2 linked regions of the Mytilus edulis genome follow. The protein of the gene in region 2 purifies or fractionates together with the protein of the main gene of each other region. This does not show direct contact. Links are inferred from orthologs where the notes say so. Each region holds a gene or a part of one and is shown on either strand. Other genes may lie near its edges. The genes, in order: C2 domain-containing protein 5-like and acidic fibroblast growth factor intracellular-binding protein-like.

What was found.
Region 1: the proteins of acidic fibroblast growth factor intracellular-binding protein-like (region 2) and C2 domain-containing protein 5-like purify together in Homo sapiens (affinity purification with mass spectrometry; 3 studies listed by BioGRID and IntAct, counting the BioPlex papers as one, with this or other methods). This does not show direct contact. The link is inferred for Mytilus edulis from reciprocal best matches to the Homo sapiens genes FIBP and C2CD5.

Annotation. Positions count from the first base shown.
Region 1 is NC_092350.1:79,274,516-79,278,451, forward strand, and holds the start of C2 domain-containing protein 5-like, read left to right. Parts: upstream 1-1,768; 5' UTR 1,769-1,854; intron 1,855-3,936. Other genes in the region: glycerol-3-phosphate phosphatase-like, read right to left, coding at 1,399-1,477. UniProt on the Homo sapiens protein: Required for insulin-stimulated glucose transport and glucose transporter SLC2A4/GLUT4 translocation from intracellular glucose storage vesicle (GSV) to the plasma membrane (PM) in adipocytes.
Region 2 is NC_092346.1:70,087,762-70,091,697, forward strand, and holds the start of acidic fibroblast growth factor intracellular-binding protein-like, read right to left. Parts: upstream 2,460-3,936; 5' UTR 2,174-2,459; exon of another isoform or gene 2,170-2,173; intron 845-2,169; 5' UTR 826-844; coding exon 744-825; intron 1-743. UniProt on the Homo sapiens protein: May be involved in mitogenic function of FGF1. May mediate with IER2 FGF-signaling in the establishment of laterality in the embryo.

The sequences.
Region 1 (3,936 bases), on a different chromosome or scaffold from region 2:
TGAAGACCAAGATATTCTTTTGGGACAATAAAGGGTAACATTAAATTTAACTGAATATATAATTATGTGGTTTATGTGTTTTTCAAGGAGATTTGGAAAGCCACGTCTTACACACAGCTGCATAGATCTAGTATTTATTTGCAATAATGTTTGACCTAGAATAATTACAATTTAACTTTTTGTACAAATAAGTTTTTTATTGTCATTACAGGAACCAATTGCTAAGAGGGTAATTGCAGCAGATCCGGAAATACCACTACCAGGGACCCAGGAGAACATTTAAAATAAACAAAGTTATTAACGATCAATTCTTCACTTTATTATATATACAGGCATTATTTACTTTTCATAAACTTTTTTTTATAACTTTCATGGGTGGGTATTTAGCTAGCCAGATATTATATTCAGAACGTGAACATGCTTAATGAGAAATGTAAACTACGATGAAATAAATTGAATCTAAAAAAAGAAGATGTGGTATGATTGCCAATGACTCTCCACAAGATACCAAACGACACAGAAAATAACTATAGAGGTCACTGTACGGCCTTCAACAATGGGCAAATCCCATATCGTATAGGCAGCAATTAAAGACGGGTTAAAGAGACCGGGGCAACATCTTATACCTCTTATAGAGTTACATATATGATAAATGCATATTATTTTTACAAGCACTAATTCTATCAAGAACTGCATACGAATAGGCAGCCTCTCAGCTATAGATGGCCCTAGGATTCATTTCTGTTATATCACAATTGAAGCTACAAAAAAAAAGAATATACGAATTCCTTCAGAGAAAAACACCAACATATATCATCTAGAGGTGACCACATGGTCCCAAACACAGTTGATACTATGTATGATCATTTTTGGGCCAATTATATAGCATAATATAAAAGTGCAAGTATATTACGTCGACATAATGTGATATTTACGTTGTAGAAACGTAATTTAACGTCACCACAACGTTAATGTATGATGTTGTGATAACGTGATATAAACGTTGTAATGTCAGGAATAACATTGTAGAAACGTAATTTTACGTCACCACAACGTTGATGTATGACGTTGTGACAACATAGATATAACGTGATATAAACGTTGTTGTAATGTCAGGAATAACGTTGTAGAAACGTAATTTTACGTCACCACAACGTTAATGTACGACGTTGTGACAACGTCAAGAAAACCCTACACTTTTATGTAAATACAACGTAATAACCTGACGTCAATGCGACGAAAACATGACATTGTCACGACGTAATTATGACGTAACATTGTTAGCTGGGTTACTGTACATGTTTTTTATGATAAGGTGTGGGAACAGGGTCAAAAATGCAAAACAAACACGTAAAAGTAAAAGCAAGAGCTATTTCATCAGCATAAAAATATTTTTACCATCACAATCGAACAGAAAGTTATCGATACTATCAATTATTTTCCTGGCAATCGCTCTGTCAACTTTTCTGCATGCCATAATTATTGACCTTTCCGATTCAGTAAATCTTCTATGTGGAGTCTAGAAAATAAAAAAGACTATTTCAAAATGTACTATTTATCTTTATGAAAATTAATGATCATTCATTCAAATGATTGACAGCAGTGGCGACATTTCTATAACACCAGTTAAATTAAATTCATTCAAAAATAAATTATTTTGTACAATGAAAGGTAAATCAGGAGAAATTATAGTATTGTGAAAGTGTACTTTGAGATGACATTCTTAAAAATTTTCCATTCGGAACGTACATCTCTTATTAATAAATAATTCAAAATGGCTTTACAAGCGAGCACATGCAGACGAAACTCTTTCTTCGTTTAGTTGATTCACTTGCGAAAGAATAGTTACTTCAGGTTTTAATTTTCATCATAACTTCACCATCAATTAGTTGGTATAACATGCAACGATTCAGAATAGCTGTCAATGTGTGTTTGTCAGTAGTGTATGTCAACAATCTTGAAATAATCATTTGTACAAAAAAAATGTAATCACATACATCAGCCCCAGAAATATATTGGTTTGTCAAACAGGCTGCTTTAGAGACCTAACAAAAGTTGTCAACAAACTATTATTCCTCTGAATAAATACCGGATAATCTGAATAAATACCTGATCACCTGATAACTAGTATCCAACTACATACATGTGACAGAGTTGTCAAGCCACAACTGGAGATTTGGAAATTTTCAGCTGGAGTTTAGGTCTCAAAACTGGAGATTTATTATCGACCTTTTATCGACGTACGCAATGATTTTTTTGTGTGTTTAAACTGCATATCTTCCTTTTTTTTTTTGGTTAAAGGAACAATAATTCCATACCTGTCAACACCTGATACTTGATAAAAATAGAAGATAAGGGGTTTTCAAAAATTTATTCATTATGTATAATTCAAAATAAAGTGATCAGCCATCATACATAGTTGGCAAAAAGTATCTCTGATAAAGCTAAATTGTCAACTTTGGTACCACTACTGGCTTGTAACAGAAGGTGTTAAATTGATAGATATGTAGGCTTGCTGGTTGGTAGCTGTCTCCATAAGTGTGGTCAAGTCATTGGGGCCATCATAGTCAGCTTTGCATGAAGTGTAGTAAGCATGGTCTTGACCCTTGGTACTGGATCTGCACCATTTGAAATCAAATCTCAAGACAGAGTTGAATTGGGCTAGATACTTGGTCTTCTTTTATTTGCTGCTGGGATTTGGTGATAAAAAACAGTTTGCATTTTGTCAAATTCAAAAATTTCCAAGACAACTATACTTATATAGGTATTCCATTGGCTTGGATAGAGAACTAGCCATAAATATCATATTTGAGTTGATTTCATTTGTCTTTGAGGTTCAGTAAATGTTCCATGTTTTCAACAGCATCACATAGTGAATTGCATCGTTGTTTATACAACTTGTACAATTAGTCAATTTAATCCTTTGTCAGTATTAACTATTTCACTTTTAATCAACCAGGCTTGTGTCTTAGACTAGCTAGTTGTCACCAGGTAATTGCCTATTATCTTTAATTTATTGCTGTATAAACAGTTTAATCCTAAACACCTTGGGCTGATTTTACCTATTTTATGATTTTGACACAACAGGCAATTTCCGTTTTTCTCGGACTTTTCCCATATCAATTTCGAGTTTCTCGGACTTTTTCTCTGTCCCTATCGATTTTGTAAACAAAAATGTGTATTGAAAATTTTACGAGGTTGACATTTTCAAAAGCGGAAGATTTCAAATTTTAACGGGAGGGACGGAAGAGGGTCTGAAAAGCGGGAGATTTTGACTCCCGCCGGAAGAATCACATGTATGCAACTATTGAATTAAAACAAGCACCTGCCAGATATTATATACTCCAGTTGTGATTAAGAATAAAACTTGATCACAACACGCATTGTTGGATTCAATATCAGGCCTCGACAATAACGCTTGTCCGATTGTCTGGTACCAGAGGGAAAAAAGGTCGGACAAGTAAAAGCTGTATCAAGCTTGTCCGTCGGGACAAGTACAATTATTCAGCAGAAAATAAATTTAATCCAACTTTGATGAACAATAATTATAAACAAAAAACAAGAAAACAAATATTAGTTTGACATGTTTCTGCATTCTGTTTATTCAAATGCAAAACCTTTTTCTTCAACATGTGTACTTGTTGCAATCGATAATTTTTAACTGATTCTTTGTCGGGTAGTTTTTAACAGGTTAAATGTATACTATTCTCGGAAACCAGTCTTACTGATCCGAATCAATGATGTGCTTTGTAGATAAGGTAACTTTACAGGACAATTCGTCACCTCGACAGGTTTAGCTCCAAGTTTAATAGACAGTTTGGCACCGTAGGAGACATATTTAGTAGACATGATTGATAGACAGTTTGACAAGGCAGGAGACATTTTGGGACCAAGACTAATCAGTACCTCATTTTGCTACCTTATTCTGTTCCATAT
Region 2 (3,936 bases):
CTAAACCATATGTATTCAAGTATGAGACAATATAACTAATCAAATGAAATATAGGGGGATTCCCTGGGGTCAAACCACCACCTCCTGTTTGGGAACTTTTAAACGGTCGAGATCCCCAGCCCTAAACCATATATTCAAGTATGGGACAATATAATAAATCAAATGAAATATAGGGGTCCCTGTGGTCACTGTACACCCTCCTGTTTGAGAACTTGGAAATGGTCGAGATCCCTACCCCTGAACCATATATACTCATGTATTGTACTACATGTATATAACAAATCAAATGAACTATAGGGGGAGTCCCTGAGGTCACCCTAACCCCTCCTGTTTGGTAACACAGAAATGGATGAGATCCCAACCCCTAAACCATACATACACATGTATGGCACAACATAACTTATCAAATGAAATATAGGGGGAGTCCCTGAGGTCACCCCATCCCCTCCTGTTTGGGAACTTTGAAACATCGAGATTCCCACCCCTAAACCATAAATTCAAGTATGAGACAATATAATATGTCAAATGAAATATAGGGGGAGTGCCTGGAGTAGACCACCCCCTCCTGTTTGAGAACTTGGAAATGGTCGAGATCTTCACCCCTAAACCATACATACTCAATATCTATCAGGAAAGAAGAAAGATTGAGAATTGGTCTGTGTATATCGAAAATGAAAAGTTTTGATTTTTTTTTTTTTCCTTCCATTACAAAATATCATCTTTTTATACATGTACAATATTACCTGATAATCCATTAAGCCATAGATCATACAGCTCAAAATCAATTATGGTGAAGTTTCCAACAAACACATCTAATGTTGCCATAACCAAATTTTTTTAAAACCTGAAAAATATAAATGATGATTTAAAAATGTAATTTATCTATATCTATACACAGCCGTTGGACGTCAAGAGTAATCTTGGACTACTCAATGTCTAAGGTCATGTCTTACTTAACTCTCAGGTGTTTCACATAATCAAACATATTTGAATACACTATGGCTCCAACTAGGAACATATATATAAATATAATGATTGATTGATGGTTGCTTTACATCCAGTGGCAAATATTTCAAGCGTGTTCAGGAAGATATAGATATACTGTTCCCAGCTCCAACATATAAATTAACAGGCTGTACATAGAAAATTATGTTAGACCACAGATTTTTGTGTTGTGGTTAGACATTTTTAACAGTTTATTTAGAGACTTGATTGACACACATACAAGAATGGGAGTACCTTCATGAAAAATAACAGTAAAAATCAGGCCAAATGAAGTTTTTAGGTTATTTTTGGTGAATGATGATAAAATGTACACTTTCTTCTAGACAATCAAAATATTGATTGATTTTGAAAAAAATATTTAAATTGAAAAAAAATTATTTGACTATTTCAATAAATATTATAATATTTGAGACCTCTGTCAAATCACTATCATTTACCCCCCTTAAAAGCTAAAATTTTGTTGTCTTCAATGAAATATTTAGATCATTTAATCTCATCTAACAAAATCTTAGCTCATGACATATTTATTCAAACAAGAGAAAACAACCTATGGACATGTAATATGAAGAAATGTATCCATAATCTGTGTTTTTCATATTTAACATCTTTTAATGTTCCTATTACACCAGTGGCGGATCCAGGGGGGGGGGGGTTCCGGGGGTGCGCACCCCCCCTTTATTTTTGCCGATCAATGCATTTGTATCGGGACATATGTTTTGCACCCCCCCTGCACCCCCCCTTTGCCCTGGGTTAGCACCCCCCCCTTTCGAAAATTCCTGCATCCGCCCCTGTACACCTATGCTTGCTCAAATAAAACAATGAATTCATGACCAAATTTTACAAGAACAGAATTCATATATTACAGAATCATCAAAATTATCAGTCATGCTTCAGTGATTTCCTCAATAATCAACCAAATTTTCCCCCACAATTGGCACTAAAGGGTGGGCCGGCCCCCCTCCAGACCCCCTGGAACGTCCATGCAAGGTTGTCTGGCTGTGCGTATCCCATGAGTATGACAGTCAGTTCATCATCAATATCAAGAGTTGACACTGACACTAAATTTGTATCAGATAGATACTGACAGTATGAGTATGAAAGTTCGGATAAAATCATTAAATAGACATTATCTAAAGGACAGCATAAGATTATTTCTCTTCGTACCGACCTAAAAATGTGTCTTCGATAACTGAATCACATTGCAAACCACAGTTTGGTTCCACGGGGACTGTTGGTCTTCTTTTATTAGTTTGGTAAATAGTTGTATCACGGGAGATAATCCAATTCAGTAACAGCCAAGTTTTCTCCCTTGTCATCCGAATTTTCACATGAAATAAATCAAAACATCACTTCACATCAAATTAACAGCAGTGAAATAACCATAACTTGGATTTGATGGAAAAAACTTATTTTTACCTCGATAACAACAGTCACGCTAGAATAATAGGTACTTGGGAACAGGACAATTTTTAGCCATCCCCCCTTTTTTTTATATATAAATTTCGATTATTTTTCGCTTTTCTGTATCAGAATTTACCAGAAAAAACTTGTTTAAGGTGGTACCCAACACTTTCACTAAAATTAATTTGGCTCGTTTAATTTTCATAAAATTTTGTCAAAGTAGACCCTTAAACAAAAATATAAAAATTTAAAAATTTTTGAACCAACTGTTTTGTCAGAAAAATTACACTGGTTATATAGCACTTTGACAAAAAACAATTTTGATCATTGAGAAGCTTAATATTCCTTTAACAACACAACGTAATTAAAACGTTTAGCTGACTTTACAGAGTTATCTCCCAGTAGTGTTAGGTACCACCTTAAAATATATCAGTGACTGCTGTAGGTAATAAATTTTAAATTGATTGTAAATAGACAAACAAATCATCATTCTATTATATTTAAAAACGCAAAAATAATCAAAATTAACAAACAAACAAAATCTGAAAAAAAAAAAAAATTAAAAGGAAGGGTTAAACAAATATCGTGTCACAAGTACCTATGTTTATTAATGAATTTCTATGTTTATAAATTTTTTAATTTTATTATTTGAGGGTGGTAACTATAAAGGGGGTACTGAACACGAAAACACGTGAAACAAAAATCGCAAAAACGTTGCACGAAAAATCAAAATTGGGAAAAACGAAGCACAAGAAATAAAATCATAAATATTAAGGAAAAAAAGTACTATAAGTTATTACTCAGTTGTTCTTGATGATTATGCAGCCTTTATCAATGGACATGGAGACCTTGCGGTCATCTTTTAGCGTCCGCTACTTGCATCTTATTTGAAAAAAAAATCATTCATAGTAATTTGATGGACTTCATTGATACCATACATATTGCAAAAGTAGAATGATAACAACATACATAAATTACTATCAGATTAGATTGGACGTTAAGCAACCAACAATCAATCAATCAATCACAAATTTCCGAAGGTATTCAGTATAACACACCATAGATGATTACATCTATGAACACACTGACTTTTTAATCAAATGCGTGACATGCACGAGAAATGAAGAGCACAGACACGAAACACGGAAAATAGATAAAGGGAAACACGAAGCACGCAAATCGAGCCAAACACGAGAAAACGAGAAATAAAACGTCAAAACATGAAAGAAAATACAGGAAATAAAAAGGCCGAAAACGTTGCATGAAAATAACCCATTACCACCCTCTTATTTACGCTCATTCAAATTTTGTCACGTAAGTAGATACTCTTTTATCATACTTCAAATTTACCAAGTCTTTCACATATACATGCCAAATTTTGTGTATGTAAAAAGCATAATCACACAAATTCTGAACTCCGAGAAAAATTCAAAACGGAAAGTCCCGAATCAAATGGCTTGAAAATCAAAAGCCCAAACATATCAAACTAATGTCATGTTCCTGACTTGATACAGACATTTTTTAATGTAG